Pelodiscus sinensis: one gene and its partners. The protein of the gene in region 2 interacts with the protein of the main gene of each other region in a pairwise test. Links are inferred from orthologs where the notes say so. Each region holds a gene or a part of one and is shown on either strand. Other genes may lie near its edges.

Region 1 (10,383 bases), on a different chromosome or scaffold from region 2:
TTTGGTAATAAATATTGCATGCTCACACATCAAACCAGATCAAACAACTTGCAACCCTATGGATCTGTTTCTAAGAACGCTCTTCATGCTCAAAAAGTGCAAAGATTTCCTGCAAACACTTCAGTGAAATCCTAAACGTGGTCAAATGACATTTACAGTGCTGAAGCATTCTCATTTTGTTTTTATCTTCCCACTTACCATGCAGAGTTCTTCTGATATCACCCATTAAAAGTGAAAATGGGTCAAGAAAGAGGAAAGTTAGATAAAATCCCCCAAACAACTTTAGAATGAAGGAAGTGTGAAAAAAAAAACTACGCTACATAAGCTTTATGTGGGAAAGGTGCTTAGCTTAATGCTTGTCGCCATGCACACAGCCATATTTCGAGTGCATGAAGCTCTATTTTGTTATGCAAATAGTTTCATGACTGATTTATAAAAACAGTAAACAGTGAAACTGAATCCCAACACTTTCCTACATGGGGTAGTGAACACCTTGCCATCCTAACTGGATTAGAAAGCAGCGATGGGCAACCTAGGTTAATGGATGGGCCACATGAGTGGACCCCCTTCATCTCAGTGGGCCACAAGACTGTCGTAACCGAGATGGTCTCCTGGAATAGGGTAGTTTTGCCAACTGTGCTTGGGTACCTAGCATTTGCCGGTGTGCTAATTGAACTGTAGCAGCATTTTGATTGGCTGCAGAGGGAGCACCCGGCTCTCACAGTCAATGTTGTGTGCAATCAGCATGCACCTCACGTCACGTGCCCTGGCTTAATGTGAGTGTCACTTTAGTAATGCCAGTAGGAAAAAACCTCCATGGACAGAAACCAGTGGAATCAGGAAACCCTGCGCCTGGGCAGCATTAAACAAAATGTCTTGTGGGCCATATACGGTCCATGGGCCACAGACTGGCCACCACTGTTATACAGCTGGGCTGTGTCTAGACTGACACGATTTTCCGCAAATACTTTTAACTGAAAAATTTTCTGTTAAAGGCATTTGCAGAAAAGCATCCGTGCCAATCTAGACGCACTTTTGTGCAAAAAAGCCCCGATCGCCATTTTAGCCATCGTGGCTTTTTTGAGGAAAACAGTACTGTGCTGTCTACACTGGCCCTCTTGCACAAATGATTTGCACAAGAGGGCTTTTGCCCGAACGGGAGCAGCATGGTATTTCCACAAGAAGCACTGATTTCTTACAGGAGGAAGTCAGTGTTCTTGCGGAAATTCAAGTGGCCAGTGTAGACAGCTGGCAAGTTTTTCTGCAAAAGCAGCTGCTTTTGTGGAAAAACTTGCCAGTCTAGACACAGCCCTGTTGTAGATACTGCTGGTGACATTTTCAGGCTCTATCCAGCTCAGATTTGCCTGAGGAATTGCTAAGCCCCTGAGCATAAGCAGCTTCACATCTCCTTCTGCCTTGATGCCCTGACTCAGGCTGTGGCTATAGCTAGGGCTGAAGTAATGCAAGGACATCAGGGGCTGCAGGCTAAGGGGGGGCCCTGCAAAAATAAATTATGATGGGTGGGGAACCTCTAGCTCGCAGGCCAGATATAGCTCCCTGCTTAATTTCATCTGGCCCATGGCAAGGCTCTGCCCTGATCCTGAGTTCCTTCCTGCCGGGCTGGAGCTGTGAGTCCTGGCTTGCGATGATCAGGGAAGCTCAGGAGCTGCCCAAGGTAAGCGACTTGCACCCCTAATCTCCTGCCTTAGCCCTGAGCCCCCTCCCTCACTCAAAAGCCTTCCCAGAGCCTGCACCCCCTCCCTGATCCCACTCCAGCACCCTAACTCCTACCCACACTCCACATACCCACCTCCACCCTGATCTCCTGCCCTGCGCTTCCTCCTGAAGGCCTCCACCTGGAGCCCTCTCCTGCATCCAAACCCTCCTCTTCAAAGCCCCCCCCCCAGTTGGAGTCCTCACCTCCTTCTGTATCCCGATCCTCTGCCCCAATCTGGATCCCTGTGTCTCACACTGAATCCTTCATTTTTGGCCCCAGCCCAGAGCTTAGGGGACGCTCCAAACCTTCACACGGCTGCATGTGGTGATTTTATTTTAAATTAGAAAAGAGACTTGTAGACAGAGACCCCACAAAATCTGATAGCCCCAGACCCCCAGGAGCGTTAAATTGACCCTGGTTTTACCTAGGGCAATAGACATGGAAGATGGAGTCTGAGGATTCCATGTTACTAGAGGTACATACTGCTCAGAAAGTCCTAATTCCTCCTCCCCCCCCGCCCCGCCTCCTGATTCTCTCTCTATGGCTGGCCTCTATCTGTAGAACAGGGTGTGCCAAACACCAACTAGCTGCCTGTGAATTTTGGGTCCAAATGCAGCTGTTGTGGTCTGGGCCTATCTCTAGCCTTGACCATTGTGACTGATTGCACTGAAGCAGGGCAGTGAGGAATCAGGTCTCCAGTTCCTGACCCAATAGGTCTAGTATCTGACCAAAGTAGAATGCGCCATTGCCGTGTGCTAGGTATGTTGCTCATGCTCATGCGAAGAACTACCTAAGGGACCAGAGGGGGATGCACCAGGTAGCACTGAACAGCTATACTTGTTCAATGACTTTAGCCCTGACTGCCTCAAAGCACAGGTAGAAGCTGCTTATGCTCAGTAATGCTGATGAAGGAATACAAGGCACTCCCAGGTATTGACATGTAGGGTGCAATTTTTTCCATATGCAGAAATTTGTCCATACCTGAAAAAGTCTTAAGTGTGTGTCTGGGGGGTGGAGGGGCTGGGAGGTGGGGGTGTAAATGTTTAGCCTTTTAGCAAACAGGCAACTAGACGATTTGACCAGGTACAGTACTAGTGATTTCAGACAGCAAACAACCCTAGGAACCTGTGTCAGCCCATAGGAGCAGAAGGAAATTGATTTTTTCATTCAAGTTGGGCATATGTGTCTGAGTTTTTTTTCTATCCTTTGTTTTACCTGCTTCTCTACAGCACCGCAAAGTCTGCTCTGCTAATAGTGTCAGGAAGGATGTGTGAGAACTCACAGCATCTGACAACATTACATCAGCACTGCGTGAAGTTTACAGCTCCAAGAAGCCAGAAAGGACAATGTTGTTTTTGAACAGCTGAAGGAAAAATGTTTCCAAATGTCAAATGCAGTTTCTAACATATACTGCGCTGATTTCTATGAGCTTAATCTACCCAAGTGTTAGGAATAGTGTATCATCTGCTTTGAAGTGGAAATAATTAGCCCCTCTGACATTAAGCACATTCACATACCATGCAACTACATGAAAATAATCACCTCCACTATCTAAGCACAATGGGTTGAGATAAGGTATTTTCAGCTGTAACACATGCTTGGTTTCCATGGGTTTAAAGTGACCTCTGGTACTCTTCTTGGGTTTGATCCTGCAAGGTGCTGAGTGCCATCAAGCTACCAAAACCGAGCATGGCTGTTAAGGAAGAAAGTACTCAGCTTCTCATAGGCACTCACTTTAAAAGTGGCATTTGCTGAATCACATTAATTCTGAAAGGAAGGAAGAAAGAAAAGGAGATGAAGCTGCATACTGTTGCTGAAATGACCTAGAGGTGGGTGCCACTAATGAAAACATTTTCACTAACATTTTTGAAAACATGGTGCCTCCTGATTGTGCACCCCAATTATCAGTAATGAATAAGGATGACAAATAGGCTAGTTCCTTCCCTGCCATTCATAGAATCATAGAATACTGGGACTGGTAGGGACCTCGAGAGGTCATGGAGTCCAGTCCCCTGCCCTCATGGCAGGACCCAGTACTATCTAGACCATCCCTGATAGACATTTATCTAACCTGCTCTTAAATATCTCCAGAAATTGAGATTCCACAACCTCTCTCGGCAATTTATTCCAATGTTTAACCACCCTGACAGGAAGTTTTTCCTAATGTTCAACCTAAACCTCCCTTGCTGCAGTTTAAGCCCATTGCTTCTTGTTCTATCGTCAGAGGCCAGGACGAACAATTTTTCTCCCTTCTCCTTGTGGCACCCTTTTAGATACCCGAAAATTGCTATCATGTCCCCTCTCAATCTTCTCTTTTCCAAACTAAACAAGCCCAGTTCTTTCACCCTTCCTTCATAGGTCATGTTCTCTAGACCTTTAATCATTCTTGTTGCTCTTCTCTGGACCTTCTCCAATTTCTCCACATCTTTCTTGAAATGCGGTGCCCAGTACTGGACACAATACTACAACTGAGGCCTAATCAGTGCAGAGTAGAGCGGAAGAATGACTTGTGTCTTGCTCACAACACACCTGTTAATGCATCCCAGAATCATGTTAGGTTCTTTTACAACAGCGTCACACTGTTGACTCATATTTAGTTTGTGGTCCACTATAACCCCTAGATCCCTTTCTGCAGTACTCTATCCTAGACAGTTGCTTCCCATTCTGTATATGTGAAACTGATTGTTCCTTACTAAGTGGAGCACTTTGCATTTGTCCTTATTAAACTTCATCCTGTTTACCTCAAATCATTTCTCCAATTTGTCCAGGTCATTTTGAATTATGACCCTGTGCTCCAAAGCAGTTGCAACCCCTCCCAGCTTGGTATCATCTGCAAACTTAATAAGCGTACTCTCTATGTGGATATTTAAATAGTCGATAAAGATATTGAACAGAACTGATCTCAAAACAGACCCCTGTGGAACCCCACTTGTTATACCTTTCCAGCAGGATTGTGAACCATTGATAACTACTCTTTGAGAATGGTTATCCAGACAGTTATGCACCTACCTTATAGCAGCCCCATCTAAGTTGTATTTGCTTAGATTATTGATAAGAATATCATGTGAGACCGTATCAAATGCCTTACTAAAGTCTACATATACCACGTCCACCACTTCTCCTTTATCCACAAGACTCGCTATCCTATCAAAGAAAGCTATCAGATTGGTTTGACGTGATTTGTTCTTTACAAGTCCATGCTGGCTGTTCCCTATTACCTTATTATCTTCCAAGTGTTTGCAGATGATTTCCTTAATTACTTGCTCCATTATCTTTCCTGGCACTGAAGTTAAACTAACTGGTCTGTAGTTTCCTGGGTTGTTCTTATTTCCCTTTTAATAGATGGGTACTATCTTATCGCCACTTCTTGTGCCCATCACAATAGTGTCCTGCTCCCAGCTAATTTTTATTTATTATACAGGGACACCTATTGAGGCTCGCAGCTGATGCATTAATGACTTCAAACAGCAAACACACTTACTGAGACATGAGCCCAACTTCTGAGCTGCTCCATACAGAAGGGGCCAGACTAGCTGCAAGCCACCTTTGCTCATCCTGACTTCTGGGTCTGGGTGGGGATATGCTTGGCCCAGGGCTTTGAATGGCCTCCTATGAGCTGCTATATAGTCCCTGAGAGCTGGAGTGTGGCTTGCTCTGGTCATACCCATTTCCTTCCAGATACATCTGCCCCATATGTTCCTATGCCTAGCACTGCATGGAGGGGGTACACAGGGCCATTCTGCTAATACCGTGTCACCCAGAGAACCACGCTATGCTGGGCGTATTCCCAATGGGGTCACTTGAACTACCAATATCTGCTGTCACTGTCTTTGTGGCGGTCGAGCAGCAATAAAGGGACCATGAAAACCTGAAGTTACTCACCCGAGAGGCATTAGTGACTGACAGATTTGGAGTGGGTTTAAGAATCAGGTAATTTGCTTTGGCTCTTACAGGGACATGCCAGTCGGTCAGCTCGGCCCTGTGGAAATGCATGTGTGTTCGTGTGATTCTCTTTCACTTTGTTACTCATTTTGTTTTACCCTCTTTACCTTTAAAGTCTTTGCTACCACGTGCAAAACATACAATGGCCTTTGGTTCCAGATTGCCTCACCTTGCCCATTTGATAACACATCTGTGTGCTTGTGCCAGGGAGCCCTAGCGTAGATAATTGAGGACAGGTCTAACCCTCGCTTTTTCGAGCCTTCCAACATTTTAAGCCCTTAAAAGACAAACACTGTACTGAAAACACTAACTCTTAACAGACGTGGTACTTTGACTGTCGCTCTTAGTCTAACCATAGCTTGTGCTTTCAGGGTTGTGGTGAGGAAAGCGTTGCTTTTTGCTAGGGAGCTGGTATGCTTCATGTACCTGTTATTCACATGTCTTTTGAATGCTCTGAGTCACAAGAATGCTATCAAATGGCACATCTGCCTTATAGGTGATAGCAGCACCTACAGCTCTGACTGTCGGTATGAGAAGTCTTTAGAAGAGCTGGAGGTGGGAACACATCCTGTTTATACCAACCAGTGAGTGAGCAGCTGGATAGCAGGCGGGTGACTGCAGCGAGCTGTGTAACAGTCACTAACCCCAATCACCTCTCTCTAGCTGGGTCGTATCAGGCTCTGCTTGGTTCAACTACAGAAAATGGATTCTCTGAACGTTTATCATGGGAGCATCAGCCGGGAGACGGGGGAGAAGCTCCTGCTGGCTACGGGGATGGATGGCAGCTATTTACTGCGAGACAGTGAGAGCATCCCAGGAGTATATTGCCTGTGTGTGCTGTGAGTACAGAAAGTCAAGGGAATCCAGGGTCTGCAACAACACCCCTTACCTGATGTCTGTTTAATTGTCGGGGAGTCAAAGCTGCCACCTAGAATGCAGCTGCAAGAGGGTTTTATGGGTCTCAGCTCCATTTAATGAAGTATCATGAGCATGGAGACCTTCCAGTGGGCAGCCCATTTGGTGATCCTGTGGCTTTCCTCGACCTCCAGCCTCTGGCTTCGCAGCATGAGTTCTGCCTTGCATTACATTTGACAGTTAGAAGGGTCATCTTGTGGCAGAATGCGCAAACATTTCTGTGTGTACAAAACCTTGTGGGGACTTCGCTTTGCATCGCCGACTTCAGGCTCGGGGTTCTCGGGCCTTCTCAGAGAAAGGATAGGCGAGTTCAGGTTCCTGCCCTGGGCTGCTTAATCTTAAATGGGACACAGAACAGTGAGCAAAGGCAAATCTATCTCAATGATGGGGTGGAGAGAAGGAAAGAGGAATGAGGCTATAACAGCGTAAGCCATGCACTTTAGATGGTATACTGCACGTGCTTCTTGCTCCTTTGGCTTTGCCTGTTGCCTGTCTTCCTCTTTACTACACTGAATAGCAGGACAGCCCAAACCTTCCTTTCCCCAGGGGGCTCGTAGGGAGGAATATTGATGCTTTATTGAAAGTGAGAGCTTGCCAACTCTTCAGGGTCTGATTTTGTCTGCCTTAGTAAAGGGGAATATATCCCTGCGCGCTGGGAGTATTGCTGCTGATTTCTGAACGTGTCAAGCAGAGCTAGATAATAAAGAAAATGGTGACAATGTATCAGGATGATAGAGTTGGGGCAGAAGGAGGAATTCCTATGAGGTGTCTGTCATAGGTCACCCACTTGGCGAGAAGGCACTGATGAGTCGCTTCTGAAATGGAGATGAGCTGACAAAGGGCTTAATATTTATGGGGGGTTGGAATGACAGAAGTGTGAGTTCTATTAGCGAAGGGCGAAAAATCCAGAGTATTAGCTTTGAGCAGGCACGCTGAAGTGCTATGCCACTAAAAGAACAAAGAAATGGCCAACAGGTCTGTACCGAGAGCTACTTTAAGCAATGAAAGAGGGAAAAGGGATATTAAAAGGATATGCTAATATCAGCAAGAAATTACCAAGACAAGATCAATGATTATTATTAACTAAAAGAGATAAAAGAAAAATAAAGCAGGCTTTTTTTCCATAAAGAAAGGATAAGATAATAAATATATTAGTACATAAGAACGGCCATACTGGGTCAGACCAAAGGTCCAGTCTAGCCAGGTATCCTGTCTTCTGACAGTGGCCAATGCCTGATGCCCCAGAGGGAGTGCACAAAACAGGGAATCATCAAGCAATCTCTCTCCTGTCACCAATTTCCAGCCCCTGACAAACAGAGGTTAGGAACACCATTTCTACCCATACTGGCTAATAAGTATTGATGGGCCTTCTTTTTTTTGAACCCTGTTAAAGTCCTTGTCTTCACAACATCTTCTGGCAAGAAGTTCCACAGATTGACTGTGCAGTGCATGAACGTTTGTTTCAAACCTGCTACCTATTAATTCATTTGATGACCTGTAGTTCTTATGTTATGGGAACAAGTAAATAATTTTCCCTTATTCACGTTCTCCATACCTGTCATTATTTTATGGACCTCTATCATATCCTCTCTTAGTCTCTTCTTTTCTAAGTTGAAAAGTCCCAGTCTTTTAAATCTCACTTCATAAGGCACCCGTTCCAAACCCCTAATCATTTTTGTTACCTTTTTCTGAACCTTTTCCAATGCCAATATATCTTTTTTGAGATGAGGTGAGTCAGGCGACCACATCTGTACATAGTATTCAAGATGTGGGTGAACATAGATTTATATAGAGGCAATAAGATATTCTCTGTCTTATTCTCTATCCCTTTTTTAATGATTCAATTTAAAATAATATCTATATCATACTTTCCAACAAAGGTATGAATGTTCTCATTGACATCACTTGGTTTTAGCCTTGAATTTTAAACTGTGCATATTATTATTATTTCACATAAGGGCAAAGTGAGGTGTAGAGCCACATAAGAAGTGTCCCAGGCTGACATGAAAAGGTTGTAGTCGAACTGTAAACACAATCCAGTTCCATTTTTATACATCTATTGTTGTGCCTTAATCACAAAGAATTGTCCTGTCTTTCCCTAGTAAATGAGAATTAAAAATAAACATTAAATAATTCCAAATTGGCGGACACTTCTAATATCTGCTTTACTTCAGCCTTTAACAAGACAACCAAATTTAAGGGATTAAGAAGAAGTGTACTGAGTTAAACGCTAATGCAGATTTGAGGTAGATAGATATGAAAAGCAGTGATACATCTCTAGTAAAAGGAACCAGCTAATAAATAATGAGTCCAAGCGTTCTTAAAGAACTATCAGAGGAAATGGGGAAACAGCTACTTATCATTTGTAGAGTGATCCAGAAGAGGTGAGTGGTAGCAGGTAATTGGAGCGTCATGAACAATTTTATCCAGCTTTATGAAAAATAGAGCAGGATTCCAGGAAATCAGACTAGCTGGCCTACATTCATTACTTAACTTATAACAAGGACATGGAACTGCAATTAATCAGTAAAAATTTCTGGTGATATTAAAGGCAGTTTGTTTATATGAATGTGAGGAAGGTCAGGTTTTAAAGAGCAGATTAGGACAGTTAAATAAGATGCTCATAGGTCTGAAGACAAATGGGCATGCAATCAATAATAAAACAGCTTCCTAACTGTGCCTGGAAAATGTGCAAAGTGGAAATAAATGTTTGCATTTAGGGATACATTTGAATGAACAAAGGATGAGATAACAAATTACTTACCTGAAAACCATAGAGAGTAAAGTGTTTGTAATCCAGACTATAAGTGCTTAGGAAAAGTTTTTACACCTTTTAGTGGAGATCTATAATTGAGTGGCTAGAACAACATTGTACAGAGAACTAGGATTTGACATGGATGGAAATCTGGTGGCAGAATCACAGAGATGAGCGGTAGGTTCAGGACTGTTCAGTACAGTATTTCAATAATGAGTGTGGTGCAAGAAGTAGATTGTACAATAATTAGCATCTCAGATGATAAACTAGGAGACAATGAGTTGATGATTTCAGAGTGATCTGGCAATGTGATGGTAATTTAGATACGTGTATGAAATAGTCTACTATAGCAGGCAAAAAATGTAAGCTAGCTGAGCAACACCACAGCAAAGAGGAGAGATAGCAGCCAATAAGTCATAGTTGGTTGTAGATGCTTGCCGTGGTAAGGAAGAACAAATCTTATACTGGCAAGTATCCAGGGAGATAGCACACATAGGACTGGAGTGACAACTGTACAGGTTATGGAGCCTTGACAAAACCAAAAAGAGATGTGTGTAGAAATTGGGCTTTATCACTGCAAAAACAAAACAAAAACCCAACCCCCCGCCCCAAACCATTAGTAAACCATAGAATGTATTTCTGAATTAAATTCTGGGGGTGTGATCTTGACTTCATACCTGCTTGTAAAGCACACAGAACAGTGTTGGCTCTTTGCAACGAATAACAAATAAAATAATGATGCTATTAAAATACCCCCTTTTAATCAGCACTCAGAAACTCCAGTGGTGGGTGCTCTAGGAATACCTAGAGAGTGTTTAGGTAGAACATGTACCATTTACTATACTACAGATCCAATCACTAGGAAATGATTTTTGAAATGGTAAAGTCTTCAAGTGAACAAAAAAAATTTGTATTTTCTGTGAAACATTTCAAATGAACTGAAAAGTTTTTGCAGGGTAAATTTTTTTGATTAAATGGAAACAGCAACAAAATTGGTTTGCAAAACCCCAAACATGTTTCAGAGTTCCCTCCTTCCACTGATTACAGTGTGGTG
Region 2 (10,452 bases):
TGCGGCTCAAGCTCAGTTGGCCCCCTTCCTCCGAACTTCCCTTCCCCCTCCCCCAGCTGAGGAAACAGCAGCGCACTGATTGAAGGCTTTCCCCACTGCTCCTACTAGCTGGAATCCAGCCAATGGGAGCAACAGGAAGCTGTGCCTGTGACACGATGCCTGTGACCAGTGTGGGGTGTGAAAGCAAGTAAGTGCCCCTGCCGCCCCTTCATGCCCAGATCCTGCACCCCTACCCTGCTCCTGCATCACCCCCTGCTGAGACCCCGAGCCCCAACCTATTCCTGCAACCTGCCCTGGCCTGATAACCTTCCCCCAGCCTGCCCCTGCACCCTCCCTTGCTTTGCCCTGACCTTGCACCCTCACGCACCCCACCTCCTACTCAGATCCCACACCCTCACCCTTATCCCACTCACTGGCAGCTTTGTCCCACACTGAACCTCAGAGCCTGGGAGGTCCACAAAATCCACTAACCCTGAAACCCCACAAGAGTAAAACCAGCCCATGGAAAGCCCTGAATCTCAGTCCTCTCTTGCCCCCTGGGGCTGGAATGCCAGAGGAGTGAGGAGTATCAGTTGGCGGGTACAACAGTGAGGGTTGTGGAGTTTTGGTGGAGTTTTTTTGCTACTCGCTTGTGTGCTCCAGCAGATTTTTTTTTTGTGGGTCAATGGCCCCAGATCCAATAAAAGGTCCCCACCCCTGCCAACAATAAAGAAAACATGGGAACCTTTTGTATTGGACATAAATTAATATTTTACTGTATTTAAAATGAAGTTTGATAAACTAAATTGAGTTAAAGTACTTGATCTGTTTAATAAGTTAGTATTTCCTTTTTTACTGGTTAAACTGTTCTTCCTAGCTGCAGCAACAACAAAATAGCTTGGGCGTAATTAACAGTGACTTTCCATTAGCAACTGGTGGTCCCTAGAAAGGCTTGCATAGATCCAGATGGGTCATGGGCCAAAAGTTTGAGAACCACTGGTGTAAATAAACTTGGATGGATAGAAGCCCCAATCCCAGAGCCTTGTAAGATTAAGCTGTGGAGGGCAACTCTGAGTCAGCAGGCTACATACCCTCCAGGTGCGAGCTGTGAGTCTGGTGCATCCTGTTTCTCCCCTCTGTTTCAATGATAGAGCTACAGAAAGGCTTCATAAGAAGTCTCTTTTAGTATTTAAATCTACTCCAGCAAATGCTGGAATCTCTTGTGGCTGGACTGTGCTTTGGGCCAAGAGCTGAAATCACTAGGTTTGGCCCAGAGTCAAATCCACCACAAGCCAGTGGAAGATGCCATGAGCAGCAGCAACACGATGAGCAGCCAGCAGGGCGGCCATGGAGAGGCATAATGAGCAGCCAGCAGAGCAGCGGCAGCAAGGGGCGAAGAATGGCCAGCAGAGCAGTGCCAGACAGCAGCGAGCAGGTGGATGGTGAGTGACCAGTGGAGTAAGATGCCTCTTTACCTCCACCCCTCTCAGGATAGGAGGTGAACTCTGAGGATGCACCTCTGAACTCCGGGTCTGCCCTGACCAAGGGCAGCAACTGTGAATGGGGTGCAGAAAAGGGCTGGGTATGTGGAGGGGACATTTACATTGCTGGGCCTAAGAACCTGAGAGGAAAAGGACATTGTCCAATCTACTTGGGGTGGGACTGTTACTCATGGTTTTGATTATGAACCCTGTTTGTGGTGTTTTCACAAATTAATACCACATTACTTCCCTTTCCTCTATTAAAGGTTATATTAAAGGTTTCTTTTCTGCACTCAGACTCTGTGCTTGCAATGGGGAAGCACTGCCTCTCAAAAGTACCCAAGGGTGTTGTTTGAATTTCCCATCTTACGGGTTGGGGGCTTTAGCCAGTTCTGTGTTAGATGGATGGAGAGGAACCCCCACATATTGAACCTAGCCCTGGATGCTAGTGGCACTACCTGGAAAAAGGGTTACATGTATATAAGTGTACATGGTACATAAAAGTTATTTCACATCTTATGTTTGTATTTTTCACATAACACAAAATAAAACTGTAATGCCATGTCAGTTTAAAAAAAAGTAGACTGTTCTGAATGATAGGTGAACAATAAAAGGCCTGAGTAATAGAAAAGCAAACAGTCTACATGAAAACTATTTCTAGTGTTTAAAAACATTCCTCTACTGTTTACTGAGACCCAGTCACATTGCATCCTATGCTGTTGGAAACATTTTTAATATTCCAGTAGTTATATGGACTGGTTTTGGAATGTCCTAAAGTAAGACAGATATAAATACATCTAATTCTGTATACATTTCTCTTTCACATACAGCTAGGATTTTAATATTGAGAGACATTTTCTCCCCTATAAAAGAATCTCACAAAAATTGAAAAAAACTCCTCTCCCCAAAAACCTATATACACAGGTCACCATTTGAGCACACTACACTGCTTGTTGTCTGGCCCACTCTCCCTGCTTATCATCACCTTTGTTTAGGCCCCAATCCTGCACTGGGGTGGATCAACAATGACTGCACAGAACCTCTCCATTCAGTGTACCCACAGAAACCAAATCATGGCTTTTGAATGTAAATTCCTTGGGGCAAGGACTCTGTCTTTACAAGCACTTGGGGCACTTCATAACCAATAAAGGTGAGGGGTGTGAGGGTGTACACACCCCACTGTCACCCTTATTGGTTATGAAGTGCCCTCGGTTCTTGTAAAGACTCATTGTAATACACTTAATAATTTCCTAAATAAGATTTCGTCACGTGGTTCCTGCAGGAAGACATCTGATTGGGAAATTGTTTTCATCTGGCCATTTTTAATAGACCAGTACAGAATCTAACACATCACAGTCGTATTCAATCAGCTGAATTCCTGTTCACCGGGCAGTCTCCCCCTTTCCTCCCGCGCAGGAGGGGGGGCAGCTCTGCCTTAGCCCGGCTCCCTGCCCTTTTAAGTGACCTCCTGAGTCCAGCCCTGCGGGAAAGTCTATGCCCGCCTGCGCCCCTTCCTCCGTCCCCCGGCAATGGCGCCTTTGCGGTGCTGCCCGCTGGAGGAAGCTGCCGCGCGGCTGGCGACCGCTGGCCCAGGGGAAAGGCCGCCCCGCTCCCTTTGCCGCTGCCCCGGGAGAGGCCCCGGGAGCGGCCGCGGGCCCCGCAGCCCGGGTTTGGGGGCAGGCTGTTGCTGTGCGGGGCGCCATGCGGCTGAGAAGCGGGATGTGCCGCGCAGCTTCTGCCACCGCGCGCACCACCCTCAGCTGCCCCGGGCAGGTGGGGGGCGGGCCCGAGGCTCCCCCGGGAGGCTGGAGGGGCTCTGGGGGCTCCGCCCGTGGGGGTGGGGCGCGGGCGGAAGGGGCGGAGATGGGGCTTGGCCTCCCTGACGTGGGGCACCCCCCGCCGCCCGTGCCGCGGTCTGTGCTTCCAGGGGTGGGGTGAGGGGGCCCGGTGCACAAAGGAAAGTGCGCGCATCTCATCCCGGAGCGGCTCGCTGCCCGGCCTGGTCGTGGCTGGGAAGCAGCGCGGGGGGACCCGGGCGGGGACGCGTCTCCCGGGTGCAGCCCCTGTGGCTGCGCGCAGCAAGCGCCGCTCTCCCCGCCGCGGCGCCCCCTTTCCTCCCTACACAGCAGAGGCGCTTAGCGCCAGAGGCTCCTCCTGCACATGGGGCGGTTGCACTGGCGCCTGGCTGCATTTGACACCCTGCAGGGCGGATGCATGACCCGCTGCGGGGCATTATTTGGGTGCGGGAGCCTGGCTGCTAGAGGGCTTGGAGGGGGGGGGGGTGAGCTCGGAGCCAAACACACGCCCAGGCTGCTCCCGCCGCAAGGGGCCCGGGTGGGGCGAAGGGGCCGAGGAACGTGCACTTACTTTATCGATGGTGCCCGGGAGCAGGCGGTCCAGCAGCCTGCACAGCACCACCCCGTCCTTCAGCGACGATTGCAAAAACCCCTCGGGGTCCGAGATGGTCTTTTTGGGCGACTCCAGCACGCCCAAGGTGATCAGCCATGTAACGGTCTGCTCCGCGGAGTTCATGGCTGCTGCCGCCGCGGCCAGGCGTTGCGGCTGGGGGGGGGGGGGGGAGGAAGCAATCGCGCGCCGGAGGAGGCTGGATTTGGACGGTGCCCCCCCAGCGCCCCCACCCCTTTGCTGGGGGTTTCACATGGAAGCAGCAGAGGCCGGGGCCGCCGCCGCCTCCCGCGCCATGGAGCTGCTGCAGATGACGCCTGGCTCTGCGAAAGCCAGCGGGTCCGGTTCCTCTCCCTCTCGTGCGCTTTGGCAGCTTGTCAACTGCCTTTTCATTGCACACACATGAACCTGCAGCGCCTCCCCCTCCTCCGCCCTCAGCGCCGGCTGCCGCCTCCGCATGACATCACTGACAGCCGGCGGGGAAGAAAAGACGCGGGGCCCTTGCCCGGCACACAGACCTGCGGCTCGTGGAGGGCGCAGCTGCTGCGGGCACCGGCCTCCTTTGCAACCCGCGCCGAGCGCTGGCACCTCTGTGGCGATCGCACCCTCCCGCCTCTGCACCCCGGATACAAATGGGAACGTTTGAGCTAGTGCACAAATGAACCCTGCTTAGGTAACAGGAACAATGTGTGTGTGGGGGGGGATGTGTTTGTGTCTGATAGAGTCACACATATTGCATGGGGATGGGTGTTGCCATGCACACATTGGCAAACCGTGCACATATTTATACACATAGCCAGTATCCATGGTGAGATTTAGATGCTGCCTGAGACACTATTTAAATCCTCCCCCATATACATGGTGGCTAACACTGGTAACATTTATATAGGCGTTATTCACCTCGAGGCAACGTGGATATTTGATCTGGCAAATCGTGGCATCCTTCAGGATTTTGTGGCATTAAAAATAAGTGTGTGCCATATTCTCTTTTACTGCCCGGCAAGCCAACAGTGCTGAGTGAACATTTTAATTCCCTATGTAACACGATGGATCCTAAACAGTGCAGAGTGGACTCATAAAATCTGCCAGGAATAGGTCTGCTCTGTATTGTGCTTGACCTTGGTAGCATTAACAAGGATCTAACATTAAACAAACAATTTGTTTTATGTGCCCTCTAGTGTAGGGTTGGTTTATGACACTTCATTGCAATCAATGAACGCACCATATAAAAGAGAACAGATTTATAAATAACGATTTTGTATAATTTGATATTTCCTAGTCAAAGTGTTTTACTGCTATTACATTTGACTTCTGGAGCCATACAGATACCAGAAGGAAAAGAAACCCAGTGCAATACCTTAATAGACTTCCAACAAGAAAACTGCCGTTTTTTGAAGGAGCAGAATTGGCAGGAGCAAGTCAGGTATTGAAACTCTACTACCAAAATAAAAGAGGATTGAGTTGCTTTCTCTACTTTTGATAATGCTGACCCATTCTAAACACCTTTACAGAGATAACTGTTTTCACAAAAATATTCTTGAGTAGATTTTTTTTCTTTGAAATGTACCAAATTGTAGCTACAGAGTTGTAAAAATTACCAGGGCAGAATGCTCCTAAACTTCCCGCAAAACTGCACTCAGCTCCCTATTTCAAATTACACAAATTTAATAGTGTACTGTAAAACAGTTTATATCTACTATATATTTAAGAAAGTTTGTCTTTCTGCAATCTGTCTGTCCATCCGTCTGTTCAACTCCTCCTGAACAGTAAGAGCTAGGACCACCAAATTTGTGATGTAGCTTCCTCTTTTCATAACTTAAACTTAAAGTAAGGTACGAGTTTGGTTCTGCGGGGGCAGAGGGGCTGAATCCCCCCCCCCCATTCATACAGGGATGCATAAAAAGAACTCCTAAACAATAAGAGTTAGGACCACCAAATTTGGTATACAGCTTCCTATTATCATACCTTAAAACAAGGTCAGGGTTTGGGTGTGTGGATGGGGAAGGGTGACGCTCCCCACTGATTCATACAGGGACACACAAAACCATACAGAAAAGAGGCAGAATCACTAGGCAGGTGAAAGGGGATGGCTGGGGGTGCACCCGCCCCCCATCTGGGTCAGCCCCAAGCCTCCCACCCCTCCCAGATGCCTTTAGGGAGGGCAGAGGAAGCTGCAGCTCTTCCTGCCCCAATTTGTACAGAGACATTGCTGGCTGTTCCCATTCGCCAAGGAGCAAGGGGAAAGTGCATATTTTGCTGCATTCCTCACTCTGGCTGGGGAGTGTAGGGGGCAGACAAACCTAGACCTGTCCCAGCCAGGGGACATGTGACCTTCCCTTAGCTATGCCCACTGGAACTGCAGCAGCCATGGAGAAGCATTTCTCACTTGACTCCAAGCTGCTGTAGTGAGAGAGGATTGGGATTGTCCTCTATCCCTGGGGCAGCCAGCACACTGAACCTCTCATTCCCAGCCCCACACCAGAGCAATGATTTAAATGAAGCAAAACAAAAATTAACTGAGTTAAGGACCCAAGCAACACCAGGTAAATCTTCTAGTAATATATAATTTAGTTTGTATTTTTGCAAGAACAAAGGAACAGCAAAATACACTTGTCTTGGTCAAATTTTTTTTGGTCAAATTGTTTTTGTTTAAACAGGAGAAAAAGTGTATAGTTTCATCAGATCCTCATTGTCCTATCTGCAAGTACTCTCATCTCAGAAATATGGGTTTTATCAAGGCTAAAGGAGGACATTTTAATGAGAATTCCTTCTAGGAACATTGGCAGCATATCCATGGTCCAACTGATCCCATTTGGATATTTTATTCATTTGCTTGCAGTTTATATGAGCAATGAGCCAATTATTAAAACAATGTTCAGTGACTGAAGTGCTGGCTTCCCTGGCTGTGTTCATTTCCAGGCATCATGTCTACAGTCTGCCATATGGTTCACTGATTTTCTTTCTGTGACTTTCCACAATTATAATTTATGGTAGTTGTTGCTAAGCCAGTGTAAAGTGCTTACAAATATTTTGCAAATGAACTTGTGCAAAGTGGTTTATAATGTATTTGTTGCTTTGTCCCATTTATGTCAGTTAGGTTGTGCTACGCAAATTGCCTATCTTATTTCAATTGTATTTTGAAATTATTTCTAATTATTTCTATACAGCGCCAAATTTCAAAACAATGCACTATTTTGACACATTCCTTAACCCTCGTGGAACAAAGTTTACAGGGATACTGAAATAGCATGCCTATTATTTTGAAAAATATTTCAAAATAACGGGTGCATTTAAATGATGCAGAATAGCTATTTCAGGTATCCCAAAATGGCCCAGCTGTCTAAACGTACCCTTAAACTACTTCTGTGACTGAAATTATCCATGTGCTTAAAGCCTTGTCTAGACAAGACCCTATTAAGGCACTTAAGGTCAAAATTTTTGAAAGTATTGAAGTGGCCACACAAGGTGCAAAGTTATGTTCAAAGTTTGGTAGCTAACTTATTTTAAAAAACAATCTGTTTTCCTAGCCTAGAAAAGGTCCATGTGATTGCAGGATTGGCTGCATCATTAGTGGCCCAACACACTTTGCTATATGTTGCTGCTAAACTCATTTTATATGCACACAGGAAACATAGCAATTGCGGAAGGTCTGTCTAGTCCAGTATCCTGTTTCTAACAGTAGCTAGCAGCAGCAGCTTCAGAGGGAAGTGCAGGCAAATATTGTATAGTCTGCCCTCTGCGTTACATCTCCTCATAATCCTTTATAGTTAGAGATTGTCTTAAACTGACAAACATGCGATTTAATAAACAACGAATAGTCTTGCAGCACCATAGAGAATAACTAAAATGCAGATGGTATCATTAGCTTTCATGGGCACAATCCACTTAATAACTTTTCCAAAATGTATGCTAGCATTCAATTTTATATCACTTTTGCTTTTCTACTTATTCCTTCAACAGACCATTTAAGAGCAACTAAATAATATATATCTGTACAAAAAAGCAATAGAAGAATATTGGAATATTTGATATTGTTCAGAAAATAGTATAGATGGCCAAACTAACTGGAAAACCTGTGAGCATAGTTTCCAACAACATATAAAACAGAAAGGCTATGTCTACACTCGAGGCTTCTTGCGCGATTAATATGCAAATGAGGCTAAGCGTGGAATATCGCCGAGCCTCATTTGCATACCTAATGAGCCACCATTTTTTTCAGAAGAGCCTCTTGCGCAAGGAGGAGCGTCTACACTGCCCCTTCTTGCGCAAGAAAAACTCTCTTGCGCAATGCTGTTCTTCCTGAAAAGTAATAGGTGTAACGGCATTGCTCAAGAGGGTTTTTCTTGCACATGCTCTGCGGCTTTGCTCTGCTTTGCTCCCCGTCCCCCTGGTCTGCAGATCCTCATATGGTCTTCATTTCAGCTTCTGATCTCCTTCTATGCCCATCTCCATCTTGCCCTCCAGCTTCTTCCTGTTTTTCCCTCCCTCTTTCCACTCACCTTTTATGTTTTTCATTTTAGCTAATCTTCCAGTCATCCAATCCCTCCTATCATTGCCCTATAATGTAGTTAATACAAATAAAAATAAAGACTAAAATAAACAAAAAGCCACCCAAAGATTGTTTAAAATGTTAAAATATTCTATTAGTTCTATGACACTGACAAACCATCACTCATTTATTTCATTTGCACATTCTCATCTATTCTTTCCCCTGTGTCTGTCTTGTACAGGCAGTCCCCGAGTTACGCGGATCCGACTTATGTCGGATCCGCAGTTACAAATGGGGCCCTCCCTCTCCCTGGTCTCCAGCAGACCAGGGAGAGGAAGCAAAGCGGCGGAACACGCGGGCAGCGGACAGCCCAGACGCGTCTGGGCTGTCAGCTGCCCACGTGCTCCGTGGCTTTGCTCTGCTTTGCTCCCCGTCCCCCTGGTCTGCAGACCAGGGGGATGGGGAGCAAAGCCACAGAGCCCGAGGGCAGCAGGACAGCCACAGCGCGTCTGGGCTGTCCCGCTGCCCCCGTGCTCCGCGGCTTTGCTCCGGACGCCTGCGGTACAGCAGCTGGGGCGCTGCCGGTTGGTCCTGTAGCGCCGCTCTGGGCGCTACTGGACCAACCCGGCAGCACCCCAGCTGCTCTGTCCCAGGCATCCTGATTCAGCCACTGCTGGTCAGTTTCAGCAGCGGCTGAATCAGGACGCCTGGGGCAGATCAGCTTGGGTGCTGCTGAGTTGGTCCAGTAACGCCAAGGAGCGGCGGCGCTACTGGACCAACCCAGCAGCACCCCAGCTGCTCTGCCCCAGGCGTCCCCAAGTCAGCCGCTGCTGAAACTGACCAGTGGCTGACTACAGGAAGCCCCTGCCCCGGGCTTCCTGGAATCAGCCGCTGATCAGTTTCAGCAGCAGCTGACTTGGGGATACCTGGGGTTCTTAAGTTGAATCTGTATGTAAGTCAGAACTTGCGTCCAGATTCAGCCGCTGTTGAAACTGATCAGTTTCAGCAGCGGCTGAATTTGGACCCAGTTCCGACTTACATACAGATTCAACTTAAGAACAAACCTACAGTCCCTATCTTGTACGTAACCCGGGGACTGCCTGTAGATGTAGATTGTCAACTCATTGGGCCAGGGATCATCTCTTATTCTGTTACTGGAAGATTCGGAGTTAACTATACAGAACCAATGAGTTTGCCTAAAACACTACTGTTCTATTTAAAACCTTTATCATTTCATGTATCTAATCTGGTAGTCAAGATTGTGACCCACCCTAAAGGAAATTCCAGGCAAAACCACCATTAGCTAACTTTCCCTTTAAGGACACAGATTCATCCTTCTGATCAAGAATAGGCAAATAAACTGTAAAGTCTTTGTAAACAAAATAATATTTACTTAGAAGTGTTTATAGTAAAAGAGTAAAGATAGATAAAATGGGATTTCAGAAAAATGGAATGAAGTAAAATGGCAGAAACAACACCGCAATAACACTTTCACTTAACTCAGTCTATAGCATGTAACATTCTAAGAATATAATCATTTATTTAACATTCTGATGCCTTATAACAATATACCAATTAACTGTGATAATATATCAATTAAACATTTAATATTAAATACTTAACACTAAACATCCAACAAATGCTGATCAGGCAATTATTATATAGATATGAGAAGATCTTACTGACACCACAAGCATCCAGCTTTATTTTTCTTGAAACCCATATACTCCAAGATGGTAAGAAAAAAACCCAATTAGACTCACAAAAGCCTTCTTAAAAAGCCCTCTGAGTCATCTTACAAAGATCCTTCTGCTCTGTGAGCAGATAAAGATTGCTGTTAATGGACGGTACATCCAGGTGATAGTTGTTGCAGCTGTTGCTCCTGCTAAGATGAAGTTTCTCTTCAGGTAATGGATTCGGAGCCTGACTATGGTAGCTGGTGCAGTAGCTGCTATGGTAGCTGCTATGGTAGCTGGTGCAGTGGCCTCCGGCTGGTGGAGTGGCAGAAACAGCTGTTATCAGGCATGCTGGTGCTGTAGCTGCTTGAGAACGATGCTAATAAGTGTGGGTTACGGTTAGAGCCAACCCATCCATTGG
Region 3 (9,933 bases), on a different chromosome or scaffold from region 2:
CCGAGCCGGTCGGCCTAGTGCCCACCGACCCCCACTTCCGGGGGCAGACAGCGGGAGGGGAGCCAGGGCAGTCACCGAGGGAGCAGCCTGCCCCCCAGGGCCGCGCCACTGCCCCCTCCCGAGGCAGACAGCCCCACTGCCTCACCCCAGAGCCTCCCTGTGCCACTCCCCCCCCCCCGGGAGCCCCGGCCCCTCCCCCTGCCCGCCGGGATGGAGCCCTTCGTCTGGCCCCGCGGAGAACAAAGGGCCGCTTGAGATGCCCAGTGGCTCCGAGCTCGCTGCTCGCCCCCGCCCGGAGGGGCACACGGCCCTCGCCAGGGGCGCAGCCTCACAGCCCACGGCACGGTGCTCTGCCCCGCTTAGCCAGGCCGGGGGGGCACAGATCCAGCCCCACAGCCGGGTCCTCCTGTACCTCTGGGGGGGGCACACAAAGGCCCCCCACTCCCAGCCCGCAGCTCCCTGGTTTCTCTTTTCTGGTCACACAGAGCCTGGCACCCAGCCGGGGCTCCTGGGCACTTGGCCGACCCCACGGTGCCTCTGACCTGCCTCCTCCACGCCCAGCTCTGCTGCCCCCCCCCCGGGGAGGAGACTTTTCCATTGCCCCCCAGGCAGCTCGGCCTTGCTGTGCCCAGCCCGGCTCCGGGCAGCCAGCAGCAGCAGCGCCGGCCGCCCCCTCAGCCACCGGGAGCCGGGGTCCCTGCAGCGGGGTCAGCGCCCAGCACCTCCCGCTGCCCCCCATGTGCAGCTGGGAGCAGAGCAGGGCGCCGAGCAGCACTAGAGGGTGGATCCGGGGGGGGGGGGGGAGCCACGTCGCTCTGAGCGGGGCCGGGGAGAACAAGCGCTTCATGCTGGAGCCAGTGCCACCCCCGCCAGCCACGGCTCCCCCAGGGCCTGCCCTGCTCAGTGCCAGGGGCCCCGTGGCCCCTCGCTGTGCCGGCACCTGCCCCAGCTCTGCCCCGTGGCCCCGTTATCCCAACCCTGTCCCCCAGTCCCACCCCACGGCTCCTCTATCCCAGCCCCGCCCCACAGCCCCACCACTCAACCCCAGCCCCACCCTCAGTGCCAATCCGCTGCCCCTGCCAGCCCAATGCTGGGCTCCCCCCCATAGCCTGCAGCACACGCGGTTTGCAGTTTAACCACCCCCGTCAGCAGAGCCAAGGGGGGCTGGGCCGGGCCTGGCCAGGCTGGGGGGCTGAGCACGAGGAGGGTTCCTGCAGCCCCAGCGGCACCCTGCACACGCCGCCGGCCGGGGACCGAGATGGAGGCAGGATGCTGCCGGGGGCGGACGTACAGGGCACAGGCCCTGGCCGCAGCTCTGCTCACAGGGAGGCCCCGGGCCTGCCTCTGCCTCGCGCTGCTCCCAGGCCACAGCCACAAGCTGCGGGCAGCACCCGCCCAAGCACCACCCAGGGGTCTCACCCGAGCAGGGCACGGAGCCCAGCGCGGGCAGCCCCAGGGACAGAGCCCAGCCCCCACGCCGCGGCTTGCCCTGCCCACACGCCCTGCCCCTCCTCAGCCCCAGCCGCCACGAGCTCAGCCTGCCACCGTGCGCCCCTTGCAGCTGGCGCCGGGTGGGCGGAGGCAGGGGGGCAGCAGCCCCAGCTCCCAGCTGGGCTCCCAACCTGATGAGCTGGGCCCTGGGGTCCAAGCCACAGGGACCGTGTGCAGGCCCCCCGCCGCTGGGCCGGAGCCCTGAGCTCTGCCCCACATGGGCCCAGCCCAGCGACCTGGCCAGCGCCCAGCGCTGGCACCGGGCCCTAGCCGGGCAGAGGGAGGTTTGGGAAGGGGCCGCCAGGACAGGCCTGACTAGGCCCGGACAAAGCCTCTGCAGCAGCCGGAGCCCGGCGCCCAGCTGAGGGAAGCAGGTTTGATGGGGGAGCAGGCCCAGCTCCAGCGCCTGCCACAGCCCTGCCCCAAGGAGTTACCCCTTCCCCATGCACCAGCCAGCACGCAAGCAGTGCCGGGGCCCCCGGCCTCCCCGCAGCTGAATGCCAGGAGGTGGGGGGCATGAGCACGACCCCCCCCAGCCCTGGCACCGGCCCCACAGCCCAGTTCCCGTTATCCCTGCAGAGGAAGCCGGGCTGCTGCGGATGGAGCCGGCCCGCCCCACGCTTCCTTCCTGGCTGCTCAAGAGCGCCTGGCCCAGGGACCTGTGCAGCAGCGCTGTGCTGACTCCCCGCACGGGGGCACCCTCCAGTCCCATGTGGCTCTGGGAGCGGGGAGGGGCCAGTGGCCAGGTTAGAGCCGGGGAGGGGGGGTGTCCCAGAGCTACCTGAAAAGGGCACGGAGGCCTCCTTCAGACACAGGCCTGTCCCGGCTCGCTACAGAGGAGCCCCCTGCCCAGGGCACAGCGCCGGTAAAGCGCCCGGGTTTCCAGCCCCCAAACAGCTCCCCAGCCTGTCTGCAGGGCACTGCAGAGCTCGCCACTGGTGGAGGGGCAGGCAGCCTGGCTCCCCCCGGCGCAGGAGCCCCTCCTGGCTGGCACCGGGGTGCACGACTGGGAAGGGGAGCTGGCCCCAAGCATGCCACCCCCTGGCTCGTCTCCGCTCTGCCCCACGGTGCGGGTGGGGAGGAAGCGCGCGTGCCCCACCCCCAGGCCCTGAAGGATGCGCGTGGGCACCTCGCAGGCGCGCAGATGGCTCAGGCACAGGCGGCCTTGGCAGGGAGACGGGCTGTGTCTGTGCTGTGTGCGCACAGCCGCCGGCAGGAACAGAACGCACCGCCCACCCCCCGGCTGCAGGCATCCCCAGGTGCCGAAGGGCACAGGGCAGGGGCAGCCGGAGCGACCCCACCCCCGGTGCCAGCCTGCCCTTCCCTTCCCTCTCGTAGCAGTAGGATCTCAGAAGCCACCGGGTGCGCAGGACGGCCTTGTGGCCCCGATCCCACCCTGAGCAGCTGGAAACATGGCACGGCTATAGCTGGCTCCCGGTGCCCGCCCATGCCCGGACAGCAAGGCCCTCTCCTGGGCACGCCAGCAGGGGGTGCCCTCTTCCCACCTCACCGCTGCTCAGCCCTGGGCCCTGCAGGGCACCTGCTTGGGAGCCCCCAGTACCCCTCGCTGGCATGTGCCCCAGGCCAGCCCATGCCAGGCACGTCCAGAGAGTAGCAGAGGGGGCAGGCCAGGGCTCCTGCCCAGCCCCAGGGGGTGGCTACCACAGGGAACTGGATTGGGGCCACAGATGTGCTGGGCTCTCAGCAGGCTGGGAACACCCCAGCGTGACCGCGCTCCCAGCTCTTGCCCAGCCCGAGGCCAGGCTGGCGCACACCCCCAGCCGGAAACAGCCCCGCTGGATTTTCAGGCTCATTTCCTCATGTGGCTATGGATGGAGGAGCCGGCTCCCAGTCCCACAGCGAGGGACCCCGTCACGCCAGGCTGGGCTCGGTGTGACACACGGGGGCACCACACCAGGGCCACGCCCAGCTCCCACAGACCATGTTCATCCGGGCACCGGGCCCCCATTCCAGCCCCGCGATCTGCCTACTCAACGCCCCAGCGGACGCACCCTCTCGCCCCGGCTGCCCCTGCCCACGGCACCCAACCAGACCCCTGCCGGGGAACCCTTCGTGCCCGACTGGCACGGCTCCCGGCCAGGGCTGGGGGGCACCCTGGGCTTTGGGAAACAAGAGCACTTGGCCTAGGGAGTCGCCGGGGTTGGCACCTGGGCAGCAGAGCCTGGGCTGGGGGGCACGGCGGGTGGGGCTGCTGGGGGGCAGGGGAGAGGCGCCCGGGCGGTGCGAGGGCTCCCACCGCCACCATGCGCCACGGCGCCGTGCCAGGGGCGCGTGCCCAGCCCGTGCCCAGCTGGCAGGGGCGCAGCGAGATTCCCCCCCCGGGCACCGGGCTCTCTGCATCCCCGCCAAGCCCACGCGGGCTCCATCCCCGGCAGGAAGGGCCCCCGCTCTACGCACCGGGGCGCGGGGGGGGCCGAGCCTGGGGAGGGCCGGGGTCCCCGCGCACAGCGCAGCCGCGGGGCCTGGCACTGGCCGGCCGGAGCCGCAGGCCGGGCGCTCACCTGGGGCGCTGCAGTCCGCGCACACCTCGCTGCGCGGCACCTTCCGGGACATCCTGCGCGGCGCGGCCTTGCGGGCCAGCTCGGGGCCGGGCCGGGCCGGGCCGTGCGGGGCTCGCGCCGCTCCCACGGCTCCGCGCTCCTGCAGGAAGCGGCGCAAGCCCGGCCCCTGCGCAGGGAGGGGTTGGGCGCAGGCTCCCCGCCCCCCCCGGGCCCGGCCTGCCGGAGGAAATGGAGCGGCGGGCGCACGGGGGCGCAGCGCAGCTCCAGCGCGCAGGGGCGGCGCGCAGCAGGGGGGCGCGGGCTCCGGTCCCTGCTCCATGCGGGCAGCCGGGGGCGCTCGTCTGCGCCGCGCCCCTGCCTTGCGCCCTGGCCCCCCGTCTGCACGCTGGGGCCCTGCCTGGGGCTGCCCGGGGTTCCCACCTCGGGGCCGCTCCGCTTTATTGGTTTCACACCTGCAACCCCCCCACCCCATTGGCCATTTGTTGTCCCTGGCTCTGCGCCCCTGCAGGAGGAGGCGGGGCCTTGGCTCGGGTCGGCTCCGCCCACTTTTGCAGGATTTCGGGGGGGGGGGGCTGCCAGCTGGCTCCCCTCGCAAGGTCTCTCCCCCATTGCCCCCCATGCATGGGGAAAGCTGCCACCATCTCAGCCATTACACCCCTCTGTGGGGCGACACTGCAGATCCCCCCCCAGGGCCAGCGGGGACTTCAGCGCCACTCTCTGGTGTGGTCCCTGCGTCCCCTGCCCCTTTCCACCCGCCAGGCCCGTCCTCTCAGACAGCCCGCTCAGCGCGTCCGCTGGCAGCCCCTCACCACTCTGCTCCCCGCCCCCATATGCCTGGGGGACCGACCCACGTCTCTGCTGCACGTTTCCACCTGCTCTCCAGGCCCGGCCCCGCACGCCCAGGGCCAGTTCTGCTCAAGAGCCGCCCGCCCGCCCGCAGGCCGGGACTAGGGATGTAACCGTCCATTAACCGATAAGCGAAAGCTCACAGGTCAGTGTTACAGACCACACGTATTCCCCTCCCCTCCCCTTGCCAGGAAAGGATTTAGCAGGCTGGCCAGCAGCCCGGCTCATGCCAGGTCTAGAACCTGCCCCTGCGGCGGCTCTGCTTTTAAAGTGTATCAGGAGCCAGGCGGGCGGACAGGCAGCCCCACTCAGTTCCGACTCGCACCAGGTCCAAGAGCTCAGATCCCCCTTGGACAGGGGCTGCTTTTTAAACTGGCTCCCCTTGTGGACCAGCTCCAGCCTGGCACCCCATGCTGCCTCTGATACACTGGCTGCCAGCCCCACCCCCGGGACTAGAGAATAGTCGACTAACCGATAAAAATGCACGAGGTTACTCGACTATTCCGTTAACCGATATTTAACATCCCTAGCCTGCACCCCAGCTGTGACAGCGGAGGAGGGAGAAACCCAGGGCAAGCTGGGAGCTACGGGGCTGAGTCCCTCTGCCCATCCCGGCCCTCCTCCCACCGGCGGCTGCAATAGCTCCACCGCCCCGCTCTGATCCAGGAACCTTGGTGGGGAACCCAGGTGCTGCTTGGGCCCAACGTGGGCATGGTTGGTGGTTCTGCGGCCACAGGTGCTGTCTGTGCCCATGCCCACACTCACGCTCAGCCTCTGTGCGCCGATCGGCGGGGAAAAGCCTCCCCCGCCCAGCTGGCCTCTTGCATGGAGAGCACCTGCCCAGCCCTGGGCCGAAGCACTGCTGTCCAGAGACACCCACGGGCACCAAGCCACCGCGCCTGGCGCTGGGCCCGGCCCTGCTGGGCAGGAGCCGTGGTGCAGACCCAGCTCGCTCCGCCCCCGGGTCTGCTCTGCACTGAGACAGGGTTGGGCCACAGAGCTGGGGTGCAGGATGCAGCTCTGGAGGGGGGATTGGGAAAAAAGACAAAATGCCTCTGGCGTGCCTGGGAACCCCAAAGAGCCGGGGAGGGGCCGTGAGCGCCTCAGGGCTAACCAAAGCCTGGAAGCCCGCCTGGGCCCTGGCCTGCCCCTGAGCTGTGGGAGCAGCCGCATCCTGCGTTCCCCTCCCCCGCCTGGCCCCCCAGCTCTTCCCAGCCCAGCTGCCCCTTGCACCCGCGAGGGTGAGGCCGCTGCCGGTTGCTGTGGAGACAGGTCTGATGTCACCGAGGATCGCTGGCTCCGCTGGGGAAATCGCTGGATCAGTTTGCGGGCGCCCTCCCCGGCATGTGTCAGAAGGGCCACCCCCTCCCTCCGGCAAGGACACGCTGAGCTACGGTCCAGGCCACGCTCCACAAGAAGGAGCACGTGACCGGGCGTCCCTGCTTCTGGAGCACCGTCCTCCAGGCCGCAGAGCCATAGGGTTGCCAGATGGTTTAACAAAAATACCGAACACCCTCCAAAAAAAAACAAACGGGAAAAAATTCTGTTGAGCAAAAAGAAAAAAAAAAAAAGGCACTGTGCCTTTAAATGGCGCTGAGCTCCTCACTTCCCCACACCTGCCAGATGCAGCAGGGGAAAATGCAGATGCAGCAGGCTTCCATCCGAGGGAAATCGGAAATACCGGACATTTCACATGTCCAATGTTTTCTGGTTTTTTACTGGATGGGGCAAACCGGACACCTGGCAACCCTACAGAGCCAGGCCCCTGGGCGCAGCCCACTAGCTTTCTCCCAATCACCCCCACCCTTTGGGAGCAGAGGGACGTGGGGGAGCCGCCCAGCCAGCCGTCGTCCCAGGGCGTTGCTCCCCGAGAAGAGTGGAACCTCGCCCCAGGGCGCCGGCTTCCCCCAGTTACAGGGGCCAGGCCCGGAGGCCAGCAATGCAGCACTAGGCGAGGAAGGGCAGGCCTGGCCCTGGACTCTCTCGGCGCCCGTGAAACCCGCGGGGGGGAGGGCAGGATCCTGAGGCCTGGGAAGGCGGGATGCACGTCCGGACGGGCACCGCTGCCCCAGGGCCGGCTTTGCCGAGGCGCTGGGCACCCTGGAGCCCACTGGCCAGGCTGGCGCTGAGCACTTCTGCCGGGGGGCGGGGCTGGCAGGACAGGACGCAAGCCCCCGGTAGCCCCGCTCCATTGGCAGCCCAGCAAATACCCCCCGGGGGTTCTCCCCCCTCCTCGCGCTTGCGTCCCCTTCACCAGCCTCACCCCCCCGCAGCCACCGCTGGGAAGGCAAAGGCCCTGTCTGCCCCCAGCCCTGTGCCCCGCACGTGCCGACTCGCCTGGGCGGAGGGCAGGGGCCGGCAGCAGGGGACCTGTGGCAGGTACAACCCCTCCCTAGCACTAGCCAATGTCTATGCCCGGGCGGGGAGGGGTTGCTAGTGCCGGCGCCCTGGGGTGGCACGCACCCTGCCCTGCCTGAGCAGCCCACGCCCTCGCCAGCTGGGCCCTTGCCACGCTGCAGGGGAAACGATCTCTGGTCGGCTCTGCTCTGGGGGCGTCCACACCCCTGTGGCTGCCTCCTGGCCCTGGGCTGCTCACAGCCGGGCCTGGGTGCTTAAGTGCCCATGCCCGTAGACAGGGGGTTGCTCTTTTAGGTGCCGGCCCACGCCGGGTGGGAGATGACTGGGCAGGGCGCTCCAACGCTGCCCTGGGGATGTGGCTGCGATAAAGGCTTGTTCACAGCTGGCCCAGCGAGCAACAGCACAGCCTAGACACCTGGTCTGGAGACAATGGGCCAGGGACCAGGGCACCAGGCTGGGTGTCAGGATGACTGCGGGCCACGCCCAGCTTTGCCACTGCCCTGCGTGGTAACCTTGGGCATGTCACTTCTCCTCCTGCCGGGTCTACCGTGTTGGGCTCCGTGGAGTGGGGACTGACGCCGCTACAGGTTTAGCTCCCTGCTCAGCTGCTGCTTGGAGGCCCACAGGCCTGGAAGAGCTGCTCTGTGGCCTGAGCTAGCTCCGGGATCAAAGTGGCTCCGGAAACCCCGCACACGGAACTCACACTAGTGAACCTTTGGGCGCACACTCAAAGTGTGAACCGTTCTAAGCCCCAGCCAGGGGCGCAGGGCACCCCCGAGGGCAGGGGGCGGGGCAAGGGCGTGACACGCTGTCAGCGTGCCCGTTATCCCATCGCCATGGCGAAGGATGGGGCTGTAGCCCAGGGGCCGAGGGGAAGACAATCCGCCAGGGCACGCTAGCAGCACTCCAAGTGTGACGCGTGTCTCTCTGACCCCCCCGCGCGTGGGCATGCACGACGCCACGTCGCCTGCCACGTCGCCTGCCACTGGGCTGGAGCATGGCCGCTGCTGAACAATGCAGAGCCACACACGCTGGGCCGAGAAATGCCAGCCCCAGCTGGGCGTGCGGGGGCTGCTCCTCGGAGCTGAATGCCGCTTTGTTGCGGCTCCTCGAGCAACCCCCCCTCCACCATGGCGCTGGGCTCAGCCGGCACGTCGCAAGCGGCTGCCCCGGCCCTGGAGAGCTGGCGCGCTGGGGAGGAAAACAGGCCTGGAGAGGGCTGGGTCCGGAAGGACGCCCCTGGTAATCCCCGCTCCTGCTGGGGCCGAGCGTGTGTGGCCTGTGGCTGCAGGGGCTGGCGGGGGGCGGAGGCAGAGTGGGACGGGCATGCCAAGCACAGGGGAATGGAAGGGGAAGCGGGGAAGTGTGTCATATACCCTGTACTGCACCCTAGGCATGGCCTCTCTCTGCCCCGCCCGTGTCCCATCCCCTCCTGCCGGTCTCTGGAGGCCCCTGAGTGGCACCGGGCGCGTGTGCAGGTTGGGGTGGGATCCCGTCGCGCGGGTGTCGGGCATCCCCGATCCTGCACCCCGTCCGCAGCAAGACGAGACTCCGCAGCCAGTAGAACAGGGGGGTTTATTGCTTGCCCAGGATCCAGCCCAGACGGGATGTGGGTACCGGAGTCAGGGCCAGGATGCCTCAGACCCCTTGGGGTGGGGTCCACAGGCCCCCGAACGCCCAGCGCTCTGCTTAGTCTCCTCTCTTCATGTTTCCCAGCCAAAAGCTGCCCAGCTCCCGGCCCTGCCCCCCACCCGGTGGCCGTCTCCCTCCCTCCCTTTGTCTCCCCCGGGAAGAGCCTTGTTCCCTGCCCAGGCTGGGCCTGGGTGTCTGGGCCAGTCCCCGTGTGGGGGAGTCCGTGGGAATCGCGGCCCAGCGCGGGGGACCCGGGTCACAGAGCAGACAGCCCCCCCCCACTACGCCACATGGGGCACTCGCCGGCCCGCTGGGCCGTGTCTGACGAACAGCCCGACGGCGCAGACCCGCCGCCCGGCCAGGCCGGAGGGAGGGGCCAAAAGGTCCAGGGCTCCGGGCTGTCACCTCGCGGCTGCCGCCAGAGCCCTGCTCCGCTAAATTGCCCTGGCCGGCAGCACCGAAGTGGCTGGGGGAAGGCTACCCCAGCCCCGCCCCCTCTGCATGAGGCCCCGCCCCCTCTGCATGAGGCCCCGCCCCCTCTGCATGAGGCCCCGCCCCATGTGGGGCCCCTGGATTTGCCCATGAGCCCAGCAATTCTGCGGACAGCTCTTTGGCCGCTGCCAGATTTTGCAGAGGGAAGGGACGGAAGAGGGTGGTTGCGGAGTGAGTCACCCTCTGTCCTGGCTGGAGCACTTTGAACAGTGGGGCAGGAGTGCTGAAAGCCAGTCCCCCCACTACCCCCAGAGCTGGAGCTGGGAGCAGAAGGGGCAGGGCTGGGGCCACAACTGTGGGGCACTGGGCCTGCAGCCAGGACCTGGGCACGGGGTGATAGCCAGGACCTGGGGGAGGGGTGGTAGCCAGGACCTGGGGGAGGGGTGGTAGCCAGGACCTGGGGGAGGGGTGGTAACCAGGACCTGGGGGAGGGGTGGTAGCCAGGACCTGGGGGAGGGGTGGTAGCCAGGACCTGGGCGTGCGGTGATAGCCAGGACCTGGGGGAGGGGTGGTAACCAGGACCTGGGGGAGGGGTGGTAGCCAGGCCCCTGGGCGTGGGGTGGCAGCCAGGACCTGGGGGTGGGGTGGTAGC

What was found.
Region 1: the proteins of ARHGEF7 (region 2) and SH2D1A interact in binary tests that used the Homo sapiens proteins (3 or more experiments, as listed by UniProt). The link is inferred for Pelodiscus sinensis from reciprocal best matches to the Homo sapiens genes ARHGEF7 and SH2D1A.
Region 3: the proteins of ARHGEF7 (region 2) and GIT1 interact in binary tests that used the Homo sapiens proteins (3 or more experiments, as listed by UniProt). The link is inferred for Pelodiscus sinensis from reciprocal best matches to the Homo sapiens genes ARHGEF7 and GIT1.

The regions. Positions count from the first base shown.
Region 1 is NC_134723.1:31,987,407-31,997,789, reverse strand, and holds the start of SH2D1A (SH2 domain-containing protein 1A), read left to right. Parts: upstream 1-6,182; 5' UTR 6,183-6,361; coding exon 6,362-6,498; intron 6,499-10,383.
Region 2 is NC_134711.1:239,395,705-239,406,156, forward strand, and holds the start of ARHGEF7 (rho guanine nucleotide exchange factor 7), read right to left. Parts: upstream 4,214-10,452; 5' UTR 3,993-4,213; coding exon 3,828-3,992; intron 1-3,827. UniProt on the Homo sapiens protein: Acts as a RAC1 guanine nucleotide exchange factor (GEF) and can induce membrane ruffling. Functions in cell migration, attachment and cell spreading. Promotes targeting of RAC1 to focal adhesions. May function as a positive regulator of apoptosis.
Region 3 is NC_134731.1:2,289,273-2,299,205, forward strand, and holds the start of GIT1 (ARF GTPase-activating protein GIT1), read right to left. Parts: upstream 4,364-9,933; 5' UTR 4,333-4,363; coding exon 4,014-4,332; intron 1-4,013. UniProt on the Homo sapiens protein: GTPase-activating protein for ADP ribosylation factor family members, including ARF1.